2 linked regions of the Anolis sagrei genome follow. The protein of the gene in region 2 purifies or fractionates together with the protein of the main gene of each other region. This does not show direct contact. Links are inferred from orthologs where the notes say so. Each region holds a gene or a part of one and is shown on either strand. Other genes may lie near its edges. The genes, in order: AQR and PPIE.

Evidence for each region.
Region 1: the proteins of PPIE (region 2) and AQR purify together in Homo sapiens (affinity purification with mass spectrometry; 5 studies listed by BioGRID and IntAct, counting the BioPlex papers as one, with this or other methods). This does not show direct contact. The link is inferred for Anolis sagrei from reciprocal best matches to the Homo sapiens genes PPIE and AQR.

Annotation. Positions count from the first base shown.
Region 1 is NC_090021.1:294,767,933-294,783,218, reverse strand, and holds the start of AQR (RNA helicase aquarius), read right to left. Parts: upstream 6,400-15,286; 5' UTR 6,352-6,399; coding exon 6,229-6,351; intron 3,990-6,228; coding exon 3,933-3,989; intron 3,303-3,932; coding exon 3,262-3,302; intron 2,223-3,261; coding exon 2,187-2,222; intron 315-2,186; coding exon 194-314; intron 1-193.
Region 2 is NC_090034.1:84,713,475-84,729,181, reverse strand, and holds the start of PPIE (peptidyl-prolyl cis-trans isomerase E), read left to right. Parts: upstream 1-7,675; 5' UTR 7,676-7,743; coding exon 7,744-7,774; intron 7,775-7,975; coding exon 7,976-8,074; intron 8,075-9,724; coding exon 9,725-9,768; intron 9,769-10,049; coding exon 10,050-10,076; intron 10,077-11,624; coding exon 11,625-11,706; intron 11,707-12,599; coding exon 12,600-12,700; intron 12,701-13,373; coding exon 13,374-13,497; intron 13,498-14,786; coding exon 14,787-14,972; intron 14,973-15,707. Other genes in the region: PABPC4 (polyadenylate-binding protein 4), read left to right, coding at 413-499. UniProt on the Homo sapiens protein: Involved in pre-mRNA splicing as component of the spliceosome. Combines RNA-binding and PPIase activities.

The sequences.
Region 1 (15,286 bases), on a different chromosome or scaffold from region 2:
AACTTTTTCAACTGTCCACGACTAGTTTCCAACCAGAGAAGTCTATTATTTAAAAGGCTGTGCAAGATCTCAGACAAGGCATAGTGACAGCCAGTAGCCAACCTTCTGACATCCAATAACACCTTAAGTGGGCAATGCTGAAGTTACAAATGATGGATCAAAGTTACTGTTGGCAATAATTGAAATCTATTACCTCCCATGCTGGCACGTTCTCCCTGAACTTTTCATTCACCATACAACAGATTGACATCAAATAAGCTTTGCTGGACACCTCTGGAGAATAATTCATCCACAAGTAATTTTCTAGGTACTGGCTGTGAACAGTAAAAAGACAAAAGAGTTACCATCCATATAATATATCACCGTCAGGGGATAGGAAGCATAATTATCTATAAGACCTATCAGCATGATTTGTGACTGGCTTCCATTGTTACCTATCCAACACAAGGCACTACAATAAAACTTACCGAGGCTATTTAAATCAATCTAAGCACAAATGGCAGATGAATCAGCCCTCTGGAAGGTTCCGTTTGTTAAAAAGAAGTATTATATCTGCTTGTACAAGCTTCATATTAGGTTGAACTCTAATTGATACTGACTTTAGGTGGGAAGAGAAAATGCATCTGCACTACATAAGGGACAGACTTCAACACACTTGCTGGAAGACTCTAAAGACTGCCTCCCAAGACAAAGAAATCTGGTTTAGACAAATCATAATTATGCCAAATAAAGCAGTAGAGAGGAGATAACTGTGCCAACACCACAGACATTTAACAAAAGGACTAAAATTGAGCACTGGTTCCACAATGCCAGTGAAAATTATTAAAATTGAGAGGCTACAAATAAATCAGCCTAGAATGACTCAAAATGATTTCTTTTGTGTTTTCAGAAGCACATTGGTAGTATTGCTCTATACATTTAATTATATAACAACAATGACCTTCCCCTCTCCCCAGCATTAACTGACTATAAGGTGAAGTGGTTTGAGAATTGGACTATGATTCTGGGAGATCAGAATATGAACTCCCATTCAACTGTGAAAGCCCACTGGGTACCCTCTCTCATGTCACACTCTTTCAGCTTTAGAGGAAGGTAATAACAAACTTCTGATGAAATGTTGTCAAGTTAATGATACAGTCTTCATTAGTGAGAGCCAACTTGAAGTTATATGACTGCATTTATTGTAACAGATTTATTACATTGATCCTGGTCTATGAAAAAATGTACATAAAATAAACATCTCTGACTATGCGTAATAACACGAGTCCCTGGGTTACGAATAGGATAGTCCCAAGCACAAACTTTTTATCGATAACTCATTTAAATTCCACTTCTCTTTCAGGTTATTATCACCACCAGCACAGACTGGTTTAGAGAGAGAAAATTACTCAGAATTTTGGGCTGCCCTCTCCTGAGCAACAAAACTTGAATATTCAACTGAGAAAGTGGGTTTATATGCACAAAAGTTTGTGTGAATTAAATCAATTACAGGCAGTCCCCAACCTATAAACATCTGAATTAAAATACAACCCTCAGTGACGAACAGGGGCAAGGCAACAGGAAGTGAGAGGAAATCTGCTCCCCGGAAGGGAAATTCACTCCTGTAAGCATCATCATGGGAAATGGGATTCTCCATTGAAGTTTTCTCACCAATCCTTGTTTCAATGGCAACCCAAAATTTTCAAAATCCAATTGTCACGAACAGAGAGTGAGGTGAAATCTTTCGAACAGGGGCACAGACAGCAAAACAAACATTTCAGGGGTGCTAACCCTTCCCTATGCTATTCAAAATAGAAAAATGACAATCAGAGGCGCAGAGGTACTACAACTCCCATTTTTTGCTAACCAGCATGGCCATGATGGCTATACAGAGCTAACAGTAGATTTTACATTTTAGGATACAGCTTACTAAAATAATGAACTACAATGCTTCACACATTGTACATTCTATTCTTAAAAACTAATAAAATCAGTTGTCAAGACATAGAATACAGACAATATTTTCTAAAGATTATCTTAGTTATCCCTTCAACAACTCTTCAAGGTATGTTTAATACTATTATTTCCATGCTGCAGATGAAGGTTAGGAAATGGTGGCTTGCAGAATTCATTTACTGAGTGTGTGGCTAAGGACATATTTGAACCTGGGACATTCTAAACCATGATAGATAACTTAGAACACTTACCTAAATTCTAGGAGCATTATTTTCCGAATAGCAAATCTGAAATCAAAAACAAATAAACACAGATGAAACCTTCTCTGGTCTACATCAGTTTTCCGTAATTTGTACTCAAACACAAATGCCTTGATTAAAAAGTCTGTGACCTTTGAACGCGTGTCTCATGTTGCAACACTGTCATGTCATCTCATACACTTCAATGGCTTAACTGTTGGGACAATTCCATTCTACAGACATAAGCTGGAGTGAAAAGTCTCAGGAAGGAATTGCACCAAAACAGACACAAAGTTTTACAAAATATGTGTGCATAAAAATAATTAGCATAAGTAGTTGCACAATCCTCACCACCATCATAGGCATGTTTGATGAGGACATGAGAGATAACCTTCTCGCTGGTTGCTCCCAAGCTGTGGAGCATCCTTTTATCTTTTAATTATATTCCAATGTTGTAGACTTCTGTAATTTACCAGGTACTCCAGACAATTTGACAGCATGCCTTGGAGTCTGTGGAAGCTTTAAGATGAGGAATAGGGCTTTTCCAACTACTAGACTGGGCAGAAGCATGCAACCAAGATCCATCCGGGAAGGCATCACTCATAGGTATGGGAGTCTTACTGTATTTTAGATTCTGTTGAACAAAACAGAGAAATGACTGGAGGGGCAAGGAGTCAGAAGGCATTGCTAAAGGCACGCTACAACCTCCAACATCTTTCTGTCTGAGGAGGCTGCCTCCATCTTCCCAGTCTAGTCATAGGGCCAGTTTTGTTCAGATATGGTCCTCAGCTTAAAGCTCCCAGAGACACCTTCCAATCTAACATTTTACATTTGCATCTTAAACATGTCCAATTGTAGTATTCCCTCCCTTTTGCCAGATGGTAATTTGGGTGTGCATTTTGGAAACTGTTCAACCGTCAAGACAGCTACCCTGACATTTTTATCATACTAAGCAATTTCAACTGCACATTACAATGGTTATGGTCACAACATCATACAATTAGGTAGTTCAGAGAATGCAATTTAGGATTTTTTTTAATGGAAACATTTCTTCAACACAAATGTGTAAGACAGTTAGGGTACATACTTTGATCTAACAATTTCTTTGCCATAGACATCTTCAATAACCTACAGAGAGAGAGAGAGAGAGAGAGCTTTTTTTAGATAGGCACTAGGATGGTTGCTTTAGTAAGATTAGTATCTTTCCAATGATATGGAAGTAGAAGAAACGTCAATAAAGTTGAAACAATTTACAGGGAAAGAACAATAAAGGACAGAAATATTTTTAAAGCCCTTCTTTTAAAGCAAACCATCTTCAATGTATAATAACTTTAACAGGTATTCATATTTTTCTGTATTTTAAATTGATTTGACTGCTTTTAATGGTGATAATTATTCCTTTTTAAAATTGTACTATGTTAAATTCTATGTTAATGTTTATAGTCCCTGGGTTTTAAATAGTATATTGTATTGCTTTTGCCACTATTCACTGCTATGAGTTTCTTTCAGAGAAAAAAGTAGCATAGGATAATAACAATAATAGAAAGTATGAATAATGATGATACATTTAGAATTATAAAAAAGCAAACACAGAAATATTTAAAACTGCATTAAAACATCAAGAAAAGCTAGAATCAAATCAATATTCTTAATTATCTTAAAAGTAAACATAATTTTAACAGGATTCCTATTAATGTCAAGCATTTACAATTAAATACCGAACAATATATTAAATTTAATAATATATTAAATTATTACCTTTGATTCAAATGGTAGCTTTTTCTTGACATGTGGTGCCCAGTACTTATTGGCCAACTGTAAGGAAAAAAAGACTATGGCATTGAAATATGTCACTGTATTGACTTAATATTAAAATAGGCAAACAGAAATCCAAACAAGCTTTTACCATATTGTCAAAGTGCTCTAAATTGTCAAAGTGAATAAATACCATGTCAATTCTAGCTACTCAGTCTAGATTGAGTCGCTAGAATTGAAGGAAGGTACTGATAAGCTGGAATGTGTCTAGAGGGTGACTACAGTTATCAATGGTTTGGAGAATAAGAACAGCTTAAAGAGCTGGGTATGTTTAGCCTGCAGAAGAGAAGGGTGAGAGGAGACCTGATGGTTATGTATAAATATGTGAGGGGAAGTCATAGGGAGGAGGCTTGTTTTCTGCTGCCCTGGAGACTAGGATGCAGAACAATGGCTTCTTCAACATTTCTTCAACACAAATGTGTAAGACAGTTAGGGACTACAGGAATTGAGATTCTGAACTTCCTAACTGTGAGAACTGTTAAGCAGTGGGACTCTCTGCTCTGGAGTGTGATGGAGGCTCCTTCTCTGTAGGCTTTTAAACAGAGGCTGGATGGCCATCTGTTGGGGGTGCTTTGAATACGATTTTCCTGCTTCATGGAAGGGGGTTGGACTGGATGGCCGACAAGCTCTCTTCCAACTCTATGAATCTATGACTGCACTAGTTCTCAACCTGTGGGTCCCTAGGTGTTTTGGCCTAAAACTCCTAGAAATCCCAGTCAGTTTATCAGCTGTTAGGATTTCTGGGACTTGAAGTCCAAAACATCTGGGGACCCTCAGGCTGAGAACCACTGGTCTAGAGAGAAAGTTTGCATCTCCCCACTTTGAACATGTTTGCTTGAATAATATTATATCTCACATTTTTCTAATGAGTTTAAGACAGTGCAAACTGCTCTCTTCCAGTTTGTCCTCACAACAACCCTGTGAGGTAGGCCAATATGAGACTGACCGCCCTAAAGTCATGCAGTGAATGTCATGTTTATGGGAATCTGAACCTGGTTCTCCTCCTCTAGTAAACAAACTTTATTACGGTCGATGACCAGAACATAACAGGGGGACCCTACTTTAAGAAACCCCTCTACAACTTTGTGGACATTATGTCACATGCCCCTTTGACATTTGGGTGAAAGTCATCTCTCTTGTAAACACTAGAATTTCCAGGATAACAGGAAGGAAACTAAGCAAAAATCCACTGAAGTAAAATCTATTTTCTGACCCAGGCCTTAAATATCTTGGAATCTCGGTGTTAATGTTGACTTTTGTGGAGAGGTGGCTGCCAAGGTAGTGGAAATGGTCGACATTTTCTAATGTTACAGTATTAAGCTGTATTTCTGGCATTGGGGAGAGATTGGCTGGTGACTGCTGGAAAAGCACTTTGGTTTTCTCAATGTTCAACGACAGGCAGAGCTTCTCATATTGACAATGAAATATAACACCACCTGACCTCTGTGAGTGCAGCATTTTTCCAAATGAAACACAGAGTGTTTGAGGACCAGGACATCCGTAGGGATACCAAGGTGCTTGTCTACAAAGCTATTGTCCTCCCAACCCTGCTATATGCCTGCGAGATGTGGACTATCTACAGACATCACATGCAACTCCTAGAACGATTCAATTTGCGCTGCCTCCGAAAAATCCTGCAAATCTCTTGGGAAGACAGGCGGACAAATGTCAGTGTGCTGGAAGAAGCAAAGACCGCTAGCATTGAAGCGATGGTCCTCTGCCGTCAACTTCGCTGGACCGGCCATGTTGTCCGGATGCCAGACCACCGTCTCCCAAAACAGTTGCTCTACTCCGAACTCAAGAACGGAAAACTGAATGTTGGCAGACAGGAAAAGAGATTCAAAGATGGGCTCAAAGCCAACCTTAAAAACTCTTGAGCGCTCAGCTGGAGGTCAGCTGTGACCAGCAGTGCTGTAGAATTTGAATGGCGTTCAAAGACCTTTAGTTAAATAAGGCCAATGTGATGTAGGGGCTTGAGCATTGGACTCTAACTGTGGAAACTAGGGCTTAAATCCCAGAATATCTACAGTGCAGACCAGGCATGGGCAAACCTCGGCCTTCCCTCCGGGTGTTTTGGACTTCAGCTCCCACAATTCCTAACCGGCTGTTAGGAATTGTGGGAGTTGAAGTCCAAAACACCCGGAGGGAAGGCCGAGGTTTGCCCATGCCTGGCTGATGTTGAGGCGCCGCCAGAGAGGTCTCAAGGTCTCCTTCCTGAGGGCCAGGCGGAGATGCTCACCTGCGTCACGAACTCCGCGTTGATCTGGGAGACGGTGGGGGCCACAATCTTCTTGGGAGGAGGCAGAGGCGAAGCCGCCGGCGCGGGAAACGCTCCCGCCACGGCTCCCGTCGGAGCCGCCATCTTCCCTCTACGATTCTTCCGGGCGGGAACCTCCCCCTTCCACGCTCTACGCTTGGACCCGCCCCTTTCCCCCTTCGCCGAATAGCATCCCGCGCCTTGCCTGAAGCGGCCTCGCGTACTTCCGGTCCCGCAAGTTTATGCTCCCCTCCTCCTTCCGCCTTTCCTTGTTGCCATGGCAGCGTAGACGGAAGTCTTGACTCCTCAAATGCCTGAAGCGCTTCCACACAACTGAATGAAATCCCACATTTTCTGGATTGATTCTGGGATATATAGAAATGTGGACTCAGGTAACCCAGTTCAGAGTAGATCTTGTGGGAGTCTCTGCTTGTTATAAAGCTGTGTGGAAGGCCCTTAGGGTGCGAATTCTTTGCCATGTTCCAATACATTGAAATCCTGGGAGCTGTAGTTTCATAGAATCATAGAATCATAGAGTTGGAAGAGACCTCATGGGCCATCCAGTCCAACCCCCTGCCAAGAAGTAGGAATATTGCATTCAAATCACCCCTGACAGATGGCCATCCAGCCTCTGTTTAAAAGCTTTCAAAGAAGGAGCCTCCACCACAGAGAGTTCCACTGCTGAACGGCTCCCACAGTCAGGAAGTTCTTCCTCATGTTCAGATGGAATCTCCTCTCTTGTAGTTTGAAGCCATTGTTCCACGTCCTAGTCTCCAGGGAAGCAGAAAATAAGTTTGCTCCCTCCCCCCTGTGGCTTCCTCTCACATATTTATACATGGCTATCATATCCCCTCTCAGCCTAAACATGTCCAGCTTCTTAAGCTGCTCCTCATAGGTCTTGTTCTCCAGACCCTTGATCATTTTAGTCGCTCTCCTCTGGACACATTCCAGCTTGTCAATATCTCTCTTGAATTGTGGTGCCCAGAATTGGACACAATATTCCAGGTGTTTAGCCTTCTGTGCCAAATTCACCAAACTACAAATCTCAGGATTGCATAGCCTCTTGAGGCATGACGGCTTCCATGGCTCTGAATATGGCTGGTGCTTTAGCAAACTACAACTCTCAGGATTCCATAGCATTGAGTTGTGGCAGTTAATGTGGTGTCAAACGGCATTAATTCCACAATGTAGATGCACTCTAAACTCTACCAGAGCTTCTGCTATCCCAGTCTTCCTCTCAGGGTGCATCTGCACTGTAGAATGGATGCAGTTTGACACTGATTCCATGGTTCAATGCTATTTAATCCTGAGAGCTGTGGTTTTACAAGGCCACGCCAAAATACAACTCTCAGAATTCCACAGCATTGAGTTGTGGCAGTTAAACTAATATCAAACAGCATTAATTTCCATGGCTCAATGCTATTTCATCCTGAGAGTTGTGGTTTTACAAGGCCACGCCAAACTACAACTCTCAGAATTCCACAGCATTGAGTTGTGGCAGTTAAACTAATATCAAACAGCATTAATTTCCATGGCTCAATGCTATTTAATCCTGAGAGTTGTGGTTTTACAAGGCCACGCCAAACTACAACTCTCAGAATTCCACAGCATTGAGTTGTGGCAGTTAAACTAATGTCAAACAGTATTACTTCCACTGTGTAGATACACCCTAAACTAAGGCAGAGCGTCTGCTATCCCTGTCTTTCAGGGTGCATCTACATTGTAGAATTGATGCAGTTTGACCCCGCTCTAACTGCCATGACTCATTGCTATGGAAGCTGTAGTTTTACATGGTCTCACCAAGTTTCAACTCTCAGGATTCCATAGCATTAAGTTGTAGCAGTTAAATTGGTATCAAACTGCATCAATTTTGCCAGTAGGCTGTTAGGAATTGTGGGAATTGAAATCCAAAACACCCGGATGGCCAAAGTTTGCCCATGCCTGTCCTAAACTCTACCAGAGCTTCTGCTATCCCTGTCTTTCACTCAGGGTCCACCTACACTGTGGAGGTAATGCAGTTTGACACCTCTTTAACTGCCATGGCTCAATTGCTATGGAATCCTGAGAGTTGTAGTTTTACAAGGTCTCGCCAAATTACAATTCTTGGGATTGCATAGAGCTGAGCCATGGCAGTTAAAGCATTTCGGATCATAGAACATTTTTGATAATGCATTTTGGCTGTAAAACATGATGGATATTATGGATCCTTCTTTGGAGGCTCCTTCTTTGGAAGTTTTTAAACAGAGGCTGGATGGCCATCTGTCGGGGGTGCTTTGAATACAATTTTCCTGCTTCTTGGCAGGGGGTTAGAACAGGCATGGGCTGGTTAGAACAGGCATGGGCAAACTACGGCCCTCCAGGCGTTTTGGACTTCAACTCCCATAATCCCTAACAATAGGTAGAAGCTGATTGTCCCTTAGAGGCCAAATACTCCAAACGGTTTCTGAACTAGTGGAAATGGCTGTGATCAATGCTCCCCTCTTGTGGGCATTTGGTGTAGCAGCAGATGCTGTACAATTTCTTTTTATAATTTCTTTTAGAATATATATATATATATATTGTCCATCTTATATCAGTTCTCATATTAGCCTAAAACTTATATTCTAAATTAGACTCTCACTTTGAGATTCTTGAAACAAATTCTCTAAATTATATATGCATTACATGGTGTTTAAGGGATGTCATGAATATGTATTGTCGAAGGCTTTCATGGCTGGAATCACTAGGTTCTTGTGGGTTTTTTCGGGCTATAGAGCCATGTTCTAGAGGCATTTCTCCTGACGTTTCGCCTGCATCTATGGCAAGCATCCTCAGAGGTTGTGAGGTCTGTTGGAAGTAGATCCACAGATATATAAACCCATTTTTCCTACTTCCAACAGACCTCACAACCTCTGAGGATGCTTGCCATAGATGCAGGCGAAACGTCAGGAGAAATGCCTCTAGAACATGGCTCTATAGCCCGAAAAAACCCACAAGAACCTAGTGATGTCATGAATGCTTTGCATTATAAAACAGTATCAAATATTGACAAATGCTGACAAACTTTTTTTTTTCAACATTTAGAAAGAAATCCTTTTACATTGAAATGTTTTGAAGAGGGAAAGGAAATGATTAGGAAAATGATTAGAAAAATGCATAGGAAAAGATTTCTCAGGAATGGAAGTATCAGGGAAGGAACTCAAACTGCCATATAATGCAACAAGCGTAGACCCATATAATGGAGTTCTATACAGTTAAACTACATTATATGGGTCTTCATTGACCATATAATGCAGTTCCTAACCTGAGTCCAGTTTGAGTCCTCCTTTTTGACTCACTGAATGAATAGGAACATGATAAGTCTTTCCTTATATACCTTAAGTTCTCTTGAGTCTACTCTAGTTGGGACCAACAGTTGCATTTGGTGAAAGAGTTCTGTTCTTAAAGCTACTTGACCTGGTTTGCGTTTTGGGAAAAAGAAAACAGGGAACCTTATATACACTGTTGTCGTTCATTGTCATCCAGTTGACTTTGACTTATGGCAACCCTATGAATGAAAGATCTCCAGGCCCAGCTGAGGTCTTGCAAATTCAGGTTTGTGTCTTCCTTGATTCAGGGCATACCTACCCAGGCAATATAACCTGGGGCCTATGAGAATCTACATCTTGGTATCTACATGACCCACATGCCTTTTCCCACACTCAGTGCAGGATAAGGCTATTTCATGTGGTTCAGCCCCATTGAACATCAAGCACAAAGTAGCTGCACGCAATAACATCCTGCGGAAACTTACTGTCAGTGCATGGGGAGCAGACCCAAAATTAATAAGAAAATCAGCCGTGGCCTTGTCTTACTCACCTGCTGAGTATGCCTGCCCTGTTTGGCATAAGTCAGTTCATGCGAAGCAGGTGAACATAGCACTGAATGAAACATGCAGAATAATCACAGGATGTCTCAAACCTACACCTGTTGATAGACTCTACAAGCTAGCTGGTGCTGCCCCCTCCCCGCCATGTGCAACAGGAAGTTGCTGCTAATTGTGAGAAAAATATGTTTGAACACTGTGAAGCCGGGGGGAGCTGCGCATGCGTCAAATAAGATAGACGTGCCTAAAAGAGCTCCCTAACTGCAAAATAAATAAAGCTTACTTTAAAAAGCCCAGGAAGACCGTAAACCTGTCTCCAACTTGGACCCGGTCGGGGAAAAGGAGGAAGAAAAGCAGATCGAGGTTTGAGTGACTGAAACTTGAATCCTCATAGAATAAATCAGAAGACCAGCGAAGGAAAGAACTGAACGTGAGTTCCATAATGACGGAGGGAGTGGAATGGGGGCAGAAGCTGGACCAAATATTACAAACATTGAATGAACTTAAGATAAGCACTGAAAGCTTAAGGAAGGGGAATGATGAATTAAAAGAACAAGTTAAAATGATTAATACCCGGCTGGGATCAATGGAGTCAAAGGTGCAGCAGTACGAAGGAAAATTTATGGAGGTGGAAGAGGAGACTAGAAAACAGAAAGAGGAGATAGCCAACTTAAAACAACATTTAGAAAGTGCAAAGCAAAATCTTCTAAACAAGATTGCGGACCAGGAAGATCGGTCTAGAAGGGCAAATATACGTCTGAGAACAGCAGGGCAGGATCTTCAGATAAATGACAATTTAAAACAAAATATTGTTAGTTGGCTGCAGACCTTGACCCAAATTATACCAGACGATATAGAAAGAGTGCACTGGGCTTACAGAGGCAGAAAAAAACCCAGAGACATTTTGATCAAATTCTCAAGAGAGGCTTTGAAGGAAAGAGTGTATAATCAGCTCCGAAAAACAAAAGACCTTACCTTGGCAGGCAAAACGGTCTGGCCTCTCCTGGATTTATCATCAGAGACATTAGATAAAAGAGCACAAATGAAGGAAATTACAAGAGTCCTGGAGGAAAAGAACCAGCGCTATACTTGGGCTTTTCCAGCCACCCTAATTGTCTATAAAGATGGCAAATTATTTAAAGCTACAGATTTGGCTAGTGGTAAGACCATGCTTAGACTTTTGAGATTTTGTACAGAAGGGGGAGTGTCGGATGAGACAGAGGAATCAGACAACGAAGAGGCCCACAGAAGTCTCAAAAGAAAGAAGGGGAGGAAAAAGGCCAAGGACACTCTACAGCCAGCTGGACTGATAACATCAACAGAGCTGGAAGCTGCAGACAGAGGCGAGCGGACTGAGAGTTTATTTGTTATTGGAGACTCGATGAACAGGGAAGGAGAGCAAGGACAAGATTTACAAGAGACTATAGATTTAAGAAATTTGAAGCAAATGGACTTGGATCAAATACGAACTTTAGAAAAACAGTTGAGAGAACTGAAAAAGCAAAAGCTGAAAGAGGAATCAAGAAGAATGGAGACAAGATCCAAGATGCAAGCATAAAAAAAAAACTTTTGACAAACTGGGTTTAAAAAAAAAATCTTTTTTTTTGCAGGAGGGGGAACTGGAGAAGGGCAACGCAGCCACCAAAAGGACTCTGGGAAGGGAAGAGAATATAACTCTTTCAGATCCTTCTCTGATGAGAGAAGGGGAAGCACTGGACTCAGAGGGGAAGGGGCACATTGGGGATCCAGGGAGGGGGGCAAAAAGGGTGAGAGGAGAAGAAAGGAAGCTGAAGAGACAAGGGGGAGATACAAAAATGAAATCAAACAAAACAAATGTGTGATATTTCTATTCTTGCACTAAATTTGAATGGAAATGCAGATCTCAAGATTCATAGATTGTTGAAATTGGCAAGGGACTGTAAAATAAATGTGATGATGTTATCGGAAACTCATAAAAAGAGGGGGAGGGATAAATTGATTAAGGATAAAACATGGAATAGAATTTTTGAATCTAGGGGGACAGGGAACTCACGAGGGGTAGCGATTCTTATTAATGAAAATGTTCCATTTGAGGTGCTTGATGTTCAAAAAGATAGGGAAGGCAGAACTGTATTCGTGAAAGGGAAGATAAATCAGGTTAAAATAACATTAGCTGTGATGTATGCACCTAACAGAAACACAAAACAGTATATACTGAATACAAAAAAGAAGCTGGATAATTATGCGGAAGGGACATTGATTTGGGCAGGTGATTTCAATTTGGACTTAACTACTAAAATTAATAAAGCAGTAAATGTAAATAAGCTTAATATGGTGGATGCACATGCAAATCAGAGTATTAGAGATACTTATTACTCAGCAAGACATAATAAATTTAGCTGTATAGATTATATTCTAATAAACAAAGCAAGTAAAGCTCAAATAAAGAAGGTAGAAAGGAAACCAATATTTTTGTCGGACCATAGTCCCCTGATTGCAACTGTGGGATTGAGCAATGAGATAAGACAAAGAATTTGGAGGTATAATTCGGTGGTAATAGGAAAAGATGAATATAAAAGGAAGCTTCAGGAGGAGATAAAAGAATATTACAGAATAAATGATACTGGAGAATTATCTAAAGATGTGGTATGGGACTCATTTAAAAGTGTATTACGAGGACAATGTATTAGTATTGAGTCCCATATAAGGAAAAGTTGGAGAGAGAAAAGAGAAAAATGTATAAAAGAAATCGAATTAATACAGGAACAACTGAGAATAACAAGGAGAAAAAATATAAATAGTATTCTAAAGCAGAAAAAGAAAGAATTGGAATTAATGGATGAGGTGCAATGGAATAAAATGAGACAGTGTGTGAGACAACGAATCAATGGATGGGGTACAAAATCAATGAAACAAATGGTGAGATATTTAAAGAGGAGAAAGAAAAAGTCATGCATAACAAAACTTAAAGACAAAAATGGATTGGTGAAAGAAGGGAGAAAGGAACTAGAAAACATAATGAGAGAATTTTACAGGGATTTGTACCAAAAAGAACAGGTGAAAAATGAAGAAATAAAAATTGGGAATAAAGTAAATGAGGAGGATAAAAGCATGCTAAACGAAGAAATTACACAGGAAGAAGTAATTCAGGTAATTAAAGGACTGAAACAATTTAAGGCACCGGGTATAGATGGATACACAGCAGAATTTTATAAGACCTTTATGCATGAGTTGGTACCATATATGACAGCAATGTTTAATGAGGTATATTTGAGAGGTATTGTCCCAGAAACATGGAAACTTTCAGAAATTATTCCAGTTTTGAAGCCAGATAGACAACCAGAGCTCCCAGAATCATATCGTCCGATCAGTTTAGCAAACCAAGATTATAAGATATTTATGAAAATTATAGCCAATAGATTGGAAGTTATTCTACCAAAGATTATAGGAGAAGACCAATATGGGTTCGTTAAAGGGCGGGGAATCAATGAGCCAATAAGGAATGTTGTCAACGCGATTTGCCATTCGACAAAAATGAAAAGAAAACTGTCAATTCTAAAGTTAGATGTGTACAAAGCTTTCGATAAAGTAAACCATGTATATTTGTACAGATTATGTAAAGAACTAAATTTGGGAAATAACTTTTGTGAAATGATCAAAAATGTATATAGGGAAAATACAGCTTGTATTAGAGTGAATGGACAAAGAACGGAAAACATTCAAATTGAAAATGGGACCAAACAGGGGTGTCCGTTATCTCCAATGTTATTTGCTCTGGCAATAGAACCCCTAGCACATAGAATAAGGACGGATGAAACATGGGAAGGGTATAAGATTGGGAGGAAGGAGGAATTGAGATTGAACCTGTATGCGGACGATGCAATAATTTTGACACAGAGACCAAGGGAAATGATTAAATCAATTCAATTAACTTTGAGGGAGTTTAAAAAAGAATCAGGGCTATCAGTTAATATGGAGAAATCAGAGATATTATTTATCAATACACCCCCAAGGGAACAATTGGAGATAAGGAAGGAATCAGGGTTAAAATTGGGTATTAAAAAGATTAAGTATTTGGGAATCTGGATATATAAGACACTTGATAAAATAATAGATGGAAATTACAGAATGGCATGGAAGAGAATGTTAAAACAATTGAGTAGGTGGAAGAATAAAAATTTGAGACAGATGTCTAGGATAAGGGCATTGAAAATATTGATAATTCCAAAAATTATATATCTATTTCAGGCTCTCCCAGGAATCCCTCCCTTAGCAAAATTAAAGGAATGGGATAGGAAACTAAATTATTGGGTTGAAGGGGGGAAAAGACCAAGAGTAAGGAAAAAATTGAGAATTGCAAAAGAAATGAAAGGGGGATGGGGCTGCCCATGCCTAGAGCTATATAGCGATGCCTTCCAAATTGAAAGAGCAATAGAATTACAAGTGACAAATAAAAAATGGGTGAGATTTGAAAAGGAAATGAATGGAGTTAATTGTGAAGAAATAATTTTTAGAAAATGGGATAAGAGAAATATAGATAAATTAACAGGACCAATGAAAGGAACAATGCAAGTGTGGAAGAAATGGCAAGGGAGAATAAGTAGTTTAAAATCCAAAATGTCAACAGTATGGATAATTAACAAGGATAAGGAATCAAATATGAATAGAAATATCCAGATATTGAAGGAAAAAGGAATAGAGAGAGTAGAACAATTATATGACAGAGAGGGAAAGGTAAGGGAGAATAAAATTAAACAATGGCTTGGGCAAGAAAACTGGTTACAGATAAGAGCAATTTGTGCATATTGCAAAACAAAAGAAAATATCAATATGGTTAAGAGAGAAGATACCGCCTTTGAAAAGATAATAAGAGAAAAAGGGGAAGGAAAGAAGGCACAGGCCAGCAAAATATATACAATGCTAATAGAGGCCGATGGATGTACAATACAGGACTTGAAAACTATGTGGGAAACAGAGTTACAAATCTCGGAACAAGAAATGAGAAATGTGGTAGAGATAATAGGGATGGAAAGGAATACTAAAGTACGAGAAACGAGGAGGAAAATATTGCACAAATGGTATCGCACACCCTGCCAATTAGCATACTACTATAAAGAGGGGAGTAGTCAGTGCTGGCATGGATGTCACCAGAAAGGGCACTTTATGCACATGATGTGGGAATGTGAATATGTATAAGACTTTTGGCAGACTATACAA
Region 2 (15,707 bases):
GATGGTAGAGAGATCACTGCCGGGCCTCTGATTGAGAATATTTGTATTTGGGCTTTTCTGTTCCACGCTAGCCCAATGACCTCATTTGACTCCATAACCAACCCATACCCTTTTGTGAACCCTTGCTGGCTGTTGAATGTTTTCTTTAGATTTCTGTTACTATAGAATTTTGTCTGGCTACATGTAGTTTGATTTACTGATGTTTTAATGTTACTTTCATATGTGGGGTTTTTCTGGGATTTTATGTTAGTATTGCGTGTTTCATGTAGGCATTGAGTGTTTGCCATTGTTATGTTGGAATCCACCCTGAGTCCCCTTGGGAAGATAGAGCGGAATACAAATAAAGTTTTTATTATTATTATTACTTAAGCCCCACTGACTTGGCCTTTTTGTGGATTTCTGCTTTTCTCAGGTGGAGGAGGCCGTGGCTGTGTTGCAGGCCCACCAGGCGAAGAAAGAAGCCGCCCAAAAAGTGGGCATCGTTGCTGCTACCTCTTGAACCCGGGAGGCTGGTAAGTGACCCAGGCTCCGTTCAGCTCATGGCTCTCAATTTGTCCCTTTTTTCTCAAAGCAGTTGAATAAAGTTGTGGCAAACATGTTTGCATCGAGCCTTACTTATATTAATAGTTTCTGCATGAGAGTATGGATGCTTTGTTTGACTATCACCATTTAAAAAAAAATTATGGCAACTATTGATGCACAAGAAGAAAACCAAATGCTTGAGAAACATCACTTTAGAAAAGTCTTATAGTTAAAAATCAGGATGGAGTTTTGTCCCCTATTTTCTTAATGATCATCCCAAACCATGTAGGAGTTGAAACAATGATGGACTGAACTGTGTGACGGGTGGGAAACTGGGAAGGATTGCCTTGAAATTATAACCCAGCTCTTTAAAGTGTTACTTTTCTACTTTTCTAGGTTGTCAAAAGCCAGATGTCTCGCACCTCAAAGAAACTTTCTGATAAAGACGTGTAGAAATGAATGTGTCTTTTACATTTCACACCAACATCACTCACAGTATTCCACTGCGTGAAAATCATCTTATATGCCTTATTTGCACCAAAAATTCCCCAAAAATACATAAACACACACTGAAAAAAACCCTTTGGGTCAAAATATACCATGCTTCCGATTAACTACCTTGCATTTCCATGACCAAGACCTTGAAATGTTTTTTTGGCTGACCAGACATTTTGTTTGGTTTTAATGGGATAATCCTGTTTGCAAAGCCTGGAGTAGTGTTTGTCAATAAACAGAAGCATTTCCTGAAATGGCTTGCCTTCTCTTCCTCTTTTTTCTCTCAAAGCAGCCGCAAAGTATGTGCCACACAGCTTTGAATGACCTGGGTTCAAGTCACGAGTGCTTAATGGTTCATTTAACTGCATGGAAACAATACTGAAGCTTCTGTGTAGACATGCCCTTTGCAGCTCTGATTAGGTTGCAACACGAGTCTGCATTGGATGCTCTCCATTCAGGGCAGGGTGAGTTCTTCATGAGGTTTGTCTGAAAAGCATCATTAGCAGCAGAAGGACTGAATGTTTAGAGCAGGGGTCTGCAAACTAAGGTCCAGGAGCTGAATACGCCCCTCCAAGGTCATTTACCCAGCCCTTGCTCAGGGTCAACCTAAGTCTGACATGACTTGAAAGCATACAACAACAATCCTATCTCATCGGCCAAAAGCAGGCCCACACTTCCCATTGAAATACTAATAAGTTTATATTTATTAAAATTGTTCTTCATTTTAATTATTGTAATGTTTTAAGTGTTTTTTGCACTACAAATAAGATGTGTGCAGTGTGCATAGGAATTCATTCATTTTTTTTCCCAAATTATAATCCGGCCCTCCCAACAGTTTGAGGGACTGTGACCTGGCCCTCTGTTTAAAAAGTTTGAGAACCCCTGGTTTAGAGGCTCATATACACTGTTTTATGAGCCTCTGAACCAACACAATTGGTGCTTACTCTATAATTCTCAAAGCGAAATGGTCAGAATAGTAAGAATCGGGAAACCAATATGCCTTTATGGTGTTGGGTCTGAGTTCATCTGCAAAGCCAACCAACCCAAAGGCCTATGAAATCATAGGGGGATTTGTGAACCTTAGTTGAGAGATTCAAAATCTCCATGCCATCCTTGTTGCACAAATACATTCCTTTTCTTACATTCATCAAACAAATGCTATTTTAAATATTAAAAATATCATGTGTTTTATCTAGCAGGATGTTGTGTCAAATAAACTATCATTTCCCAGTTAAAGTACTGAGAAGTAACCTCTCTTAAGTGCTGCTCTTTAGAGGCATTGGACCTCTTCAGATTACGTACAGCCAGAGAAACTAGTAACTATATAGATCTTTATTGATGAATTGTAAAGGTTTTCCCTGACATTAAGTCTAGTTGTGTCCAACTCGGGGGGGGGGGGGGGGTGCTCATCTCCATTTCTAAGCCGAAGAGCCGGCATTGTCTGTAGACACTTCCAAGGTCATGTAGCCAGCATGGCTGCATGGAGCGCCGTTACCTTCCCGCAGAAGCCATAACTATTAATCGACTGACATTTGCATGTTTTCGAACTGCTAGGTTGGCAGAAGCTGGGCCTAACAGTGGGAGCTTACTCCACTCCCTGGATTCGGACTGCTAACCTTTCAGTCAGCAAGTTCAGCAGCTCAGTGGTTTAACCCACGGCACCACTAGGGGGCTTGTTGTATTTTGTGGCAACAAATTCCTTCATTTTAACTACTGCACAAGAGTGTCATACAGGGGAAATCCAGACAAGAATCGATCAGGGCCAGCTAACACTTCCCAACAAAGGATCCCGAGGCAGCAACCAGCTAGACTTTGAAACTGCAAGGCCATTAAATACTAATCAAGTTAGCAAATGGCAACATTCACACTTGCCTCAAACAGACAAAAGCGTTCTTTCTCCCACCCTGGACATTATTCCACAGATATATAAATTTCACTTGCCTAATATCCAACAGACCTCACAACCTCTGAGGATGCCTCCCATAGACGTCATCAAAAATACTTCTAGAAAATGCACTTACAGCCTGGAAAACTCAAAGCAAACCAGTGATTCTGACCATGAAAGCTTTCGACAACACACACATACAACATCTAACGCTTTAAAAGAGAAGGACAAGATAAAAGGATGATTATTCAGAAGAAAAAGCAGGCAGAAACACACAAAGAACAGAAAAAAGAAATAGAGATTTTGAACTTTGAACAATGCCTAAGATTGAGATGGGCTATACAAATGGACTGGTTATATAAAATTATCTTTGGTGTAATATAGAGAAAAAGCATGATAATTATAAAATTTAAGAATAGATTTCTTGTGAAACGATCTTATGAAAAATTATGCTCATTTTCTATTGAAGAACTGGAAAAGAATATATGAAGATCACAAAACAATGTGAGAAGACACATTGAAGAGACAACCAATGGACTTAAAGTTGTTAGAATCTTCACTATTATAACAAATATGTGTTAAAGAAATAGAGATGAAGATTTAGTTGTAACGATGACAATTTTGTAAAAGGAACCCCCCATACCCCAACAACCCCCACCCTCTTTATTTTCTCCTTGCGGCATAATAGAGACTGTAAATATGCAACTAACCAATAACAAATCTATTTTCCCATTTTTTTCTTCCCCTTTCCCCCCACCCTCATGTAAATGTTTAATAAACATTATGGGGGGGGGGGGGGAGAGGTACAGTCAGTCTTCCACATTTTCAGAGGTTTGAAGCACAGGACCCTGGTGAAAGTGAAGAATACAAATAAATGTTTTGGTTTTTTTACTAGACAGAATATCTCTAGGAATGGATACAGGGGTTCTCCAGATGTTTTGCACTTCAATTCTCAGAAACCTCAGCTCCCTTGATCAATAATCAAGGATTCTGGGCACCAAATTTCATCATCATCATCACTTTATTTCTTAATTAGTCGCTCTCCACCAAATTGCTCCGAGCGACTTACAATTTAAAATAGCTTATACACAATATAAAACATTCAACATAAAAACATTCAGCAGTGACTATGGCAAAATTTGATCCAATTACTTAAATGCACAACCAAACAGCCAAGTCTTGAGCGCCTTTACAAAAGGTTGCAACTCTGACATTGCTCTAATATATGGAGGCAATGAGTTCCACAGAATTGGAGCATAGATCAAAAAAGCTCTACGCCTTGTAGCTTCCAAATGTGCCTCCCTAGGACCTGGTATGTATAGGAGATTTTCCTGGGTGGATCGAGGTGACCACTGATGGGGAAAAGGAATGAGGCAGTCCCTAAGATATAAAGGTCCTTGGCCATTTTGAGCTCTAAATGTCAGGATCAGTATCATGTAAGAGATCCGATGTTCTATTGGTAGCCAATGCAGTTGTTACAGAATCGGTGTAATATGGGGTCTTATAGATGATCCCGCTAGCAACCTGGCTGCCGCATTTTGGACCATCTGAATCTTCTGGGTCATTGACTTCGGAAGGCCAGCATATAAGGCATTGCAATAGTCCAACCTAGTGGTGACTGTTGCGTGGATTACCGTTGCCAATGCTTCTACCGAAAGGTAGGATGCTAATTTCCTTGCCTGGCGAAGATGAAAAAAGGCCTGCTTACTTATGGCAGTGATCTGGCCCTCCATCGTCAGTGATGAATCCAACACAACCCCAAAGCTTTTAACAGTGGCAGACGGAACCAGAGCTTCCCCGTCGAAATCAGGCAGAGACTGGGTTAATTCTGGCGGCTGGCCGGGCCAGAGTATCTCAGTTTTTGCAGGATTGACTTTTATTCGTCTTGCTCGTAACCAACTCATCACTGCTTCCAAACACAGCTTAAAGTTCTCAGGAATCACGGTTGTCCCAGGTTCGAGACGCAAGAGTAGCTGGGTATCATCTGCAAACTGGTAGCACTCTATGCCAAAGCTCCGCACCAGTCCAGCAAGTGGTCGGACGTTGATGTTAAATAACAGGGGCGAGAGGATAGCACCCTGGGGAACTCCACAGCAAAGGCAGGAGCTCTCAGAGCTTTGGCCTGACCACTCCACCCTCTGTCTCCGGTCGCGGAGGAATGAATTGAACCATTTGAGGGCTAAACCTCGTACACCAGACGGAGCCAATCGATGAATCAGCAAGTCATGGTCCATGGTGTCAAATGCAGCTGTGAGGTCCAAGAGTACCAATAGCGCTGATCCGCCTCGGTCTAACTGATGACGAATTTCATCAGTAATAGCTACCAAGACAGTCTCTGTTTGAAAACACATGGAAGACTACAGTCTGGGAAACAGTCTATAGTCAACTTACAATTGAAGCTGAACATAGATGCACACTGGAGGAACTAGTGAACTGTCCTCTAGAAATCCCTGGATCCTCCAGGATGAAGATTGAGTCACACTGGAGAACCTGGGATTCCTAGAGAGAACATATTTACATTAAATCCATGAATAAACAAACAGGAAAGATTAAGTCCCTGATTGTCCTCCATCCAAGAAAGCTTCAGGGCAATGCGTTGTTGAAGGCTTTCATGGCTGGAATCTCTGGGTTGCTGTGAGTTTTCCAGGCTGTCTGGCTATGGTCCACAAGCATTCTTTCCTGACATTTCTCCCAAATCTATGACAGGCATCCTCAGAAGTTGTGAGGTTTGTTGGATACTAGGCAATTGGGGTTTATATATCTGGAATGCTCACAATGAGGAAATAACCTGTCTGTTGGAGGCAGGTGTGAATGTTGTAATTAGCCACCTTCATTAGCCTTGAATATCCTTGCAGCTTCAAGGTCTGACTGCTTACTGCCAGGGGGAATCCTTTATTGGGAGATGTAGTTGGCCCTGATCTGAATTTATTATTTATTATATTTGCGGTATTTGTATGCCACACTTCTCAACCCTGAAGGGGACTCAGGGAGGTTCACAGTGTTGGCAACAATTCAATGCCATTGATAAAAAACAGTATAAAACATCAAAATTGTCCCTCCCTTGATAAAACATTAAACATTATTACAGTGTTCCCTCACTTATTGCGGGTGTTATGTTCCAGAACCACCTGTGAAAAGTGAAAATCCGCAAAATAATTATTTTAATATTTATATATCATTTCAGTAGGTAAAGGTAAAGGTTTTCCCCTGACATGAAGTCCAGTCGTGTCCGACTCTGGGTATGGTGCTCATCTTCATTTCTAAGTTGAAGAGCTGGCGTTGTCCATAGACACCTCCAAGGTCATGTGGCCAGCATGACTGCATGGAGCACCGTTACCTTCCCACCAGAGCAGTACCTATAGATCTACTCACATTTGCATGTTTTCAAACTGCTAGGTTGGCAGAAGCTGGGGCTGACAGCGGAAACTCACACTGCTCCCTGGATTCAAATCTGCAACCTTTCGGACAAGCTCAGCAGCTCAGCGCATTAACCCAATGCACCATCGGGGGTTCCTTATTTCAGTAGTTATACACTATTTTAAGTCTTTATAAACCCTCCCCAGACACTTATACACTACATAACCCTCCTTGAATGTGTTGTTCACATAATCCTCAGCTCCGGCTTTATCTGCAGAGGCAGCCTCTCCATACAGACAAACGCTCTTAAGGCCAGAGCGCTTCTAAAATTAATCAAACCTGCCATGTGATCGTAAAGTTGCTTGGCCTTAGTCCGACCACGCACACGTGAGTCCGATGCTAATGTGAAATGGAAAAGCAGAGAATAGCTGCGCACAAGATTGTTGTTTTACCAGGTAAAGGTAAAGGTTTCCCCTGACATTAAGTCCAGTCGTGTCCGACTCTGGGATGTGGTGCTCATCTCCATTTCTAAGCCGAAGAGCCAGCGTTGTCCATAGACACCTCCAAGGTCATGTGGCTGGCATGACTGCATGGAGCGCCATTACCTTCCCGCCGGAGAGAATGCCTCTAGAACATGGCCATATAGCCCGAAAAAACCTACAACAACCCAGTGATTCCAGCCATGAAAGCCTTCGACAATACAGACCTCACAACCTCTGAGGATGCCTGCCATAGATGTGTGCGAAACGTCAGGAGAGAATGCTTCTGGAACATGGCCACACAGCCTGAAAAAAATCACAGCAACCCAGTGATTCCGGCCATGAAAGCCTTCGACAACACATAACCAAAAAGTGGGAGGAGAGAAACCAAACCTAAAAATGTATTGTTGAAGGCTTTCATGGCCGGAATCACTGGGTTGTTGTAGGTTTTTCTGGGCTATATGGCCATGTTCTAGAGGCATTTTCTCCTGACGTTTCGCCTGCATCTACAGCAAGCATACTCAGAGGTAGTGAGGTCTGTCGGAAGTAGGAAAATGGGTTTATATATCTGTGGAATGACCAGGGTGGGACAAAGGTCTGCTGGAGCTAGGTGTGAATCTTTCAACTGACCACCTTAATTAGCATTTGGTGCCTGGGGTAATCTTTGTTGAGAGGTGATTAGATGTGCCTGATTGTTTCCTCTCTGTTGTTTTGCTGTTGTAATTTTAGAGTTTTTTTTTAATACTGGTAGCCAGATTTTGTTCATTTTCATGGTTTCCTCTTTTCTGTTGAAATTGTCCACATGCTTGTGGATTTCAGTGGCTTCTCAGGAGAAAATGCCTCTAGAACATGGCCATAGAGCCCGGAAAAACCTACAACAACCCAAACCTTCAAAGGCAGGACGCTCTGCTTTGACGCAGAAAGCAGTGCGCGCGCTCCTCCTTTTCCTCCTTCCGGCCGCTTTTGGAATCCGTTTCCGGTCGGAGGGGGATTGTGGGAAGGCAAATGGCGTCCACCAAGAGGGTGCTGTATGTGGGTAAGGAGAAAAGACTGGGAAGAGAAGGGGGCGGCTTTCAAAGCTGGGGAGACCTTGGAGGCGGCGGCAGAAAGGCGCCTCGTCGAGCCAAGCGGGCAGGAGTTCTTGGGCCTGGGTTAGGGTTAGACTTGTAGGCCTGCCCTCCTTGCCTTCCCAATGGCGACGTAAGGGGCCTCTCTCTTCTTGTCCCCGTCTCCCTAGGCGGCCTGGCGGAGGAGGTGGACGAGAGGGTGCTGCACGCGGCTTTCATCCCCTTCGGAGACATCACCGACATCCAGATCCCTTTGGATTATGAGACAGGTGAGGAGGAAGGTGGGAAGGAGAGGAAAGAGAAGGGAAAGGAGAAGGAGAGTAAATAAAGGGAGGAGAAGAAAAGGGAGAAGAAAAAGGGGGAGAGGAAAGAGGAGGATAAAGGGAGGGGGAAAGAAGAAGGCAAAGAGGAGGGAGAGAGGAAAGAGGAGGAGAATAAAACAGGAAGAAGAAGAGAAAGGAGAAGAAAAGGATGAGGAAGGAAGATGAGAACAAGACGGAAAGTGGAGGAGAAGGAGAATAAAAGTGGGGAGGAAGAAGAAGAGGGAGCGAAAAGAGGAGAAGAAAAAGAGGGGGAAAGAGGAAGAGGAGGAAGAGAATACAAGGAAGGCGAAAGAAGGAAGAAGAGAAAGGAGAGGGAGAGAAAATAGGGGGAGGAGAAGAAAGGGAGGGGGAAAGAAGAAGGGAAAGAGGAGGAGAATAAAAGAAGGAAGAAGAGGGAGAGGAAAGAGGTGGAGGAGACTAAAAGGGGCAGAAGAATAGAAAGGAGAATAGAAGGATAAAGGAGGGAAGATGAGATCGAGACGGAAAGTGGAGGAGAAGGAGAATAAAAGTGAGGAGGAAGAAGAAGAGGGAGCGAAAAGAGGAGAAGGCAGAAAATAAAAAGGGGAAAGAGAAAGAGGAGGAAGAGAATAAAAGGAGGGGGAAAGAAGGAGAATAAAAGGAAGGAAGAAGAAAACGAGATGGAAAGTGGAGAAGGAGATTAAAAGGGGGGAAGAGGAGAAGGAGGAGAGTAAAAACGGGGAAAGAAAAGAAAAAGAGGAGGAAGAGAATAAAAGAAGGAAGGAAGAAGAGGAAGAAAAGAGGTGGAGGGGAATAAAAGGGGGAAGAAGAATAGAAAGGAGAAGAAAAGGATGAGGAAGGAAGATGAGAACGAGACAGAAAGTGGAGGAGAAGGAGAATAAAAGGGGTGAGGAAGAAGAAGAGGGAGCGAAAATGAGAAGGAGGAGAATAAAAAGAGGGGGAACAGGAAGAGGAGGAAGAGAATAAAAGGAGGGGAAAGAAGGAGAACAAAAGGAGGAAGGAAGAAGAGAACGAGGTGGAAAGTGGAGAAGGAGAATAAAAGGGGGAAGAAGAGGAGAAGGAGGAGAGTAAAAACATGGATGTGGGACCAGGTCTTTGGGTAATCTGTCAAACTGACAAGGACAATGGCGACTAGAGCTTTGGAAAGCATTATGATAATGCTGAATGGACTTGTGGATTACAGAACTCGGCGAACGTTGGCCACCAGATTGGCTTTTTTTTATTAGTTGTTATTGTATTAGTTGAATGTTTTAACTATTTATAATTGTTGCTGTTATATATTTTACTATGTTGAATTGTTGGCATCGAATTGTGCCGGTTGTAAGCCGCCCTGAGTCCCCCCTACTTTCTAATGTTTTAAATGGAGTCTCTGTTCTTGCAATTTGTATCCATTGCTCCATTTGTCCTGGTCTCCAGAGCAGCAGGAAACACACCTTTCCCGCTCCTCAGCGAGACATTTTTTAAATGTTTCAAAGAAAAACAGTAGTTATTTTTCTGACCTGCCTTTTTTCAGTATGAAATTAGGCTTCTCATAATAGTTTTACATGGAGGTCTGGTTGTCTATTGGTTGCCCATAAGGTTTGCTAAACTGATTATCCTTTTCTCATATCTCTGCAGAAAAGCATCGGGGTTTTGCTTTCATTGAATTCGAACTGGCTGAGGTAAGGAAATGCTGACATGTTGGCACCCCAAAAACCAAACATTTTTTGCAGAGGGATCCTATAGCACTTTAGAGCCCCAGAGAACAAGGTGAGTGGGCTAAGCTTTGGTAAACTCAGTTCTGCCTTCATCTCACTTCTTGTTGTTCAAGAAGGACTCTCCTTAACTTTAAATGGCACAAGGAAACCTAAAACACAGTGACCCCCAAGCATGGTATTTGGGGGCAACTTGAAATAAGGGATGATGAGTTATCAGTAAAAATATATCTTCTTTTCTTCTGTAGGATGCTGCAGCCGCCATCGACAACATGGTACGTCTCTCTTTAGATTTTCTGAATTTCATTTTGTGGAAAGATGAAATCCCCGCTCATTCCTAACAATATTTTCTGGTAGAAGTGAAGTAATCTGTTTTATAGACTCCGCTTTGATGGTAGGTTTGTGCACAGAGTCCTTCATTTTGGTTTTGCAAAAAGCACATAGAAAATCTCCCTTGTTCCAATACAGAGTTCTAGCTGAATGGTTCCAGTAAGATTTATTTTTAAATTAAGCAGTCTGACTTTTATGTGCTAAAAAAAAGAGAATACAGAATGAGGATGTCAGTTGTATGAGGGTTCTCCGGAAAGTAAGGTTACAAGGGACGTAGCTCTCGCGGGGAAATTTCTCGTAGGAAGTTGGTATCACTTCCATGTAGCGGGAAGCCAGCGGAAGCGAACAAGTAGTGCCAGTCATCAGTAGCTCATCGACTGGCGTGGTGAAGGTTAGAGATGAGCGTCCTCATTCCATTTCCCTCCGAGTGCAAAGTTTGTGCTGTAATACGCTACTGAAATGCTAAGGGCATGAACGCTGCTGCTATTCATGGCAAAACCGTTTCAGTTTATGGAGAAGATAGCATGTGACAAAATGGGTACGGAATATATTGTGAGACCATGAAGAAACTTCGCAAAGCCATCCAGAACAAATGTGATGGGATACTGACGGCGGGAGCCTATCTCCTTCATGACAATGTGCATCTGCACACCACTCATGCAACTCAAGAGTGGTTGACTTCATTTGGTTGAGATGTTTTAAGCCACTCCACTCACAACCCCGATCTCACACCCAGTGACTACCATCTGTTTACTAAATTGAAGGAACACCTGGGTGGAAGACACTTTTCCAACCACGACAAGGTGAAAATCGGAGTGATGAACTGACTGAAAAAGGTAGAAGGAGACTTCTATGACACAGGCATCAAAAACTCATCCCACTGATGACAAAATGTATTGAACTAAATGGTGATTGTGTGGGAAAATAACGTAATACCTATGCTGCAATCCATGTAAGTTTTATTAAAATATATTCATTCTTTGTCTTTTAAAAAATAGATATAACCTTAATGTATTATTGAAGGTTTTCATGGCTGGAATCACTGAGTTGTAGGTTTTTCTGGCTATAGGGCCATGTTCTAGACCTCACAACCTCTGAGGATGCTTGCCATAGATGCAGGCGAAACGTCAGGAGAGAATGCTTCTAGAACATGGCCATATAGCCCAAAAAACCTACAACAACTCAATTATAACCTTACTTTCTGGATAACCCTCGTAGAATCCAGTGGCAACAAAGAGGGCCAGGGGCAGGGAAATTAGTAGTGTAGTCCACTGAGAAATATGTGGGCATGAAAATGACTAAAGTGAAAGTATGGACAAACATGTTTTGCCTGCTTTAAGAGCCAACATAGTAAAATGGCTGCATTTATCCGGGACAGTGAAGTCCGTTTTCCTACATGATACTCATGTTAAGATGCTAAATCTAACCTACCTTATGTTGGGCTTGTATGAGAATTACATGATGATTTCAAAGTAATCCTCTCCCCTCCTTAGAATGAGTCTGAGTTGTTTGGGAGGACAATCCGCGTCAACTTGGCCAAACCGATGAGGATCAAGGAAGGCTCCTCTCGCCCAGGTAAGCCATGCAATTGGGACAGGAAGAATCATAGAGTTGGAAGAGACCTCGTGGGTCATCCAGTCCAACCCCCTGCCAAGAAGCAGGAAAGAATGGTTCTTCACCTTTGTGTTTCTGTTTGTGTGTACTTTTGGACCAGGGGAGATTCTGTCTGTGAATCCTGAGTTAAATATACCTGAATAGGAAGGTTCCAAAGATTTTTTTCATCTTGTGTATAAACATCCCAGAAATACTTATGTAACAAAATTTGGAAAAAAATGCTCTTCCTAGTTTGAAAATACGTTTTAATTGTGTGGTACTTACTTTGAAAGCAGTTGTTCTACTCCAGAAACTTCGTTTTTGTGGCTGCCACAATCTGTAGAATTGGTTGAGACTGGGATATTCATTGCTGCAGAATATCCTGCAGGATGTGCCGCAGAAGTAAAGTTTTTGCAGTTTAATAAACCTTTTCCATATTTTTATGATAGGGCCCCCTGGTGGTGCCGTGGGTTAAACCACTGAGCTATTGAACTTGCTGACCGAAAGGTTAGCGGTTTGAATCTGGGGAGCAAGGTGAGCTCCCACTGTTAGCCAAGCTCTTCCAACCTAGCAGTTCAAAAACATGCAAATGTGAGTAGATCAATAGGTACTGCTTCTGCAGGAAGGTAATGGCGCTCCATTCAGTTGTGCTTGCCACATGACCTTGGATGCATCTACGGACATCGTCTTAGAAATTAAGATGAGCATTACCCTCCAGAGTCGGACATGACTAGACTTAATGTCAAGGGGAAACCTTTACCTTTACTACCAATTAGGCAATTACATTTATAGCCCTGGACCAAAATCATATTACATAGTGGTATCACTTGATTAACGTTTCTGTTTTCTCATTGCCTTCCATTTTCCTTTGACAGTCTGGTCGGATGATGACTGGCTGAAGAAATTCTCTGGAAAGACGCTTGAGGAGAATGTGGAGGAAGAAGGGGCAGAGCCAGCCCGGTCAGAGGCCCAGGAGGTGCGTGGCCATCTTTCCTTCGGTTAAGTAAGGGGCAGTTGGGGTTCTGTAGGTTTTGCACTTTTAGCACTCCACTTTTGGCCACGGCCTTAGAGCTCATTTTCACACAACTCTTTCTTAGGGGCTGGATGAAGTCATTTAGCACCGCCAAACCTGTAGGTACCTCCAGATTGGCCTGCATAGTTTCCATGCCCATATAGACAATGCGTGGTGGGATAACAGATGCCGAGGTTAGGCAGCCTGATGTCACACATCCTTCAGCTACAGTTTACCCCTTCTCTCTAGACATTTCTAGGTCCTCCAATGCCATTCCATGGTCTTCCATGGCAGAAGTCGACCACAGAATTCTGTTGGAAGACTGAAGAGTTCCTATTGAGGTGTTCTCTCATGTAAAAGACATCACAAATTCTGTCATGAGGGCCCTATGCCCTTAGTGGGAGGGCTGGCTGTAGCTGACGTCAAAGCTCAATGTAGTATAGATTGTAGATCAATGTAGCAAAGTGGATATTATTAATGCACAGTGTTTTATGTTGCAAAGTTATTTGTCCTCAAGTGGTTTTCTGGGGTAGGTTATTTGTGGCCATGGGTGCTATGCTTACATGGCAGATAATTAGGCTCCGACTCACTTGGCTGAGATTTATCATAGAATAAGCTGTATCTCTCCCTGTTTTAGGGAGAGCCACCAGCAAAGAAGTCAAGGGCAAACCCCCAGGTTTACATGGATATCAAGATTGGGAACAAGCCAGCTGGCCGATTGAACATCCTTCTGCGATCGGACATTGTACCTATGACTGCTGGTAAGCAAAACCTCTGGCTGTTGGATATTGTGTGTCTTCAAGTGCCCAATTCCATGGCCCTATAGTTTGCTGTTTGCACTTTCCCATGCCCAGCTCTTTTGATAGCCAGGTCATGCCCATTTTAGTAGCCCTGGATCCGGATTTGAGTATTGATTGGGTGGAGTTTTGATGCTAATGTTTTATACTTTTATGTCTATTCACTTTGTTTTAAAATGGACAAATGCTCCACATGATTATGTTCTTATTTTAATTGTGTATTTGTTTCATGGATTGTTCGTTTATTGTCTTATGGACATTTGGTCCCATATAAGCTGTCCCTTCAGGGAGATGGTGGCAGGGTATAACAATAAAGTTGTTGTTGTTATTTTAACTTAGGGCCACTCTAAGACAACCCTACCTCAGGTTTACCATGCCAAGGTTTGCCACTTTCTGAGGCTGAGAGAGTGAGACTCACTCAGGGGTTCCATGTTGAACAATATTCCCTCGCAGCCTCCTAACTAGGATAGCCAAGGGAAAGGGTTGCTGGGAGTTGAAGCCATATCTAGAAGGGCACACGAAACCCAGTGTAAACGACACAAGGTCTGGTGCAATACCGTTAACTCAAACTAGAATACAATGAAAGAGAGTTCAAAACATGTTTGAAAAGCAGTCAGGGAGGTCCAAACACATATCCCATGTTTATGGCACCCTACTCGAGAAAGAGCCTTCGGTGGCTCAGTGGGTTAAAGCACAGAGCTGCTGAGCTTGTTGACCGAAAGGTCGCAGGTTTGAATCTGGGGAGCGGTGTGAGCTTCCGCTGTTAGCCCCAGCTGCTGCCAACCTAGCAGTTCAAAAACATGCAAATGTGAGTAGATGAATACGTAGCGCTCTGGTGGGAAGGTAACGGCGCTCCATGCAGTCATGCCAGCCACATGACCTTGGAGGTGTCTACGGACAACGCTGGCTCTTTGGCTTAGAAATAGAGTTGATTACCACACCCCAGAGCCGGACACGACTGGACTGAATGTCAGGGGAAAACTTTACCTACTTGAAAAAGGTGTCTTACCCTTCTTGGGTGGCATCTCATAAAAGTGGGAGGACGCCCACATTTATCAAGATAGCAACTGGAAGAGATGTCATATAGCTTTCCGCTGCCATTTGGAGACTCATGGCAGAGGAAACGCAACCTCCTTGGTGGACATTCCATGAACGTGAGAAGTGTTCAGACATTCCAATGGCTTTGGCCCTCTGCTTTTGTGCTTGCTGCCCTTGCTCTCTCAACGGTGCCCCTTTTCTGCTTTGGACCACAGAGAACTTCCGCTGCCTTTGCACCCACGAGAAGGGCTTTGGCTTCAAAGGCAGCAGCTTCCACCGCGTCATCCCCCAGTTCATGTGCCAGGGAGGGGACTTCACCAACCACAACGGCACTGGAGGGAAGTCCATCTACGGAAAGAAGTTTGATGATGAGAACTTCATTCTGAAGCACACCGGGCCTGGTAGGACATTGCCGGTGATGCTGGCTTCGGTTGGGACCTCAGTTGGGCATGATGGCGGGACCATACGTTCCAAACGTTGGGGGAATCCTTATAGTGTGATGTACTGCAGAACCTTTCCAGCAATCCAGAGTCCCTCACAAGGAGTTCTTGAAAATAAATCTGCCTAGTTGCTACAGCTCAACAAAAATTGCTAATGAAAACCACATGCCAAAACTCTTAGTTTTCCACCCCCTTGAATCCATCCCTTCCCCTAAGAGTTCATTACAGCTCTCTGTTAGATCTCATTACACTATGTAACAAAATCTGAACGTTTTTTATTCCTGGTTTGGAAGTGTTATTCCTGTTTAATTGTGATGTCCTTACTTCAACAATAGTTATTCTACTCCAGAAACTTTGTTTTTATTGCCACCACAAACTATTTTGAATTGGTTGAGGCTCCATGAGACTTTCATTGTAAAACTGTAGCAAATTGTGCAGCAAGATGCTCCACAAAAACAAGCTTTAACTCACTGGTGGTGCAGTGAGTTAAACTGTTGAGCTGCTGAACTTGCTGACTGAAAGGTTGGCGGTTAGAATCCAGGGAACAAGGTGAGCTCCTACTGTTAGACCCAGCTTCTGCCAACCTAGCAGTTTGAAAACACACAAGTGTGAGTAGATCAATAGTTACTGCTTCTGTGGGAAGGTAATGGTGTCCATGCAGTCATTATTTATTTATTTATTTACTATCTTTGTATA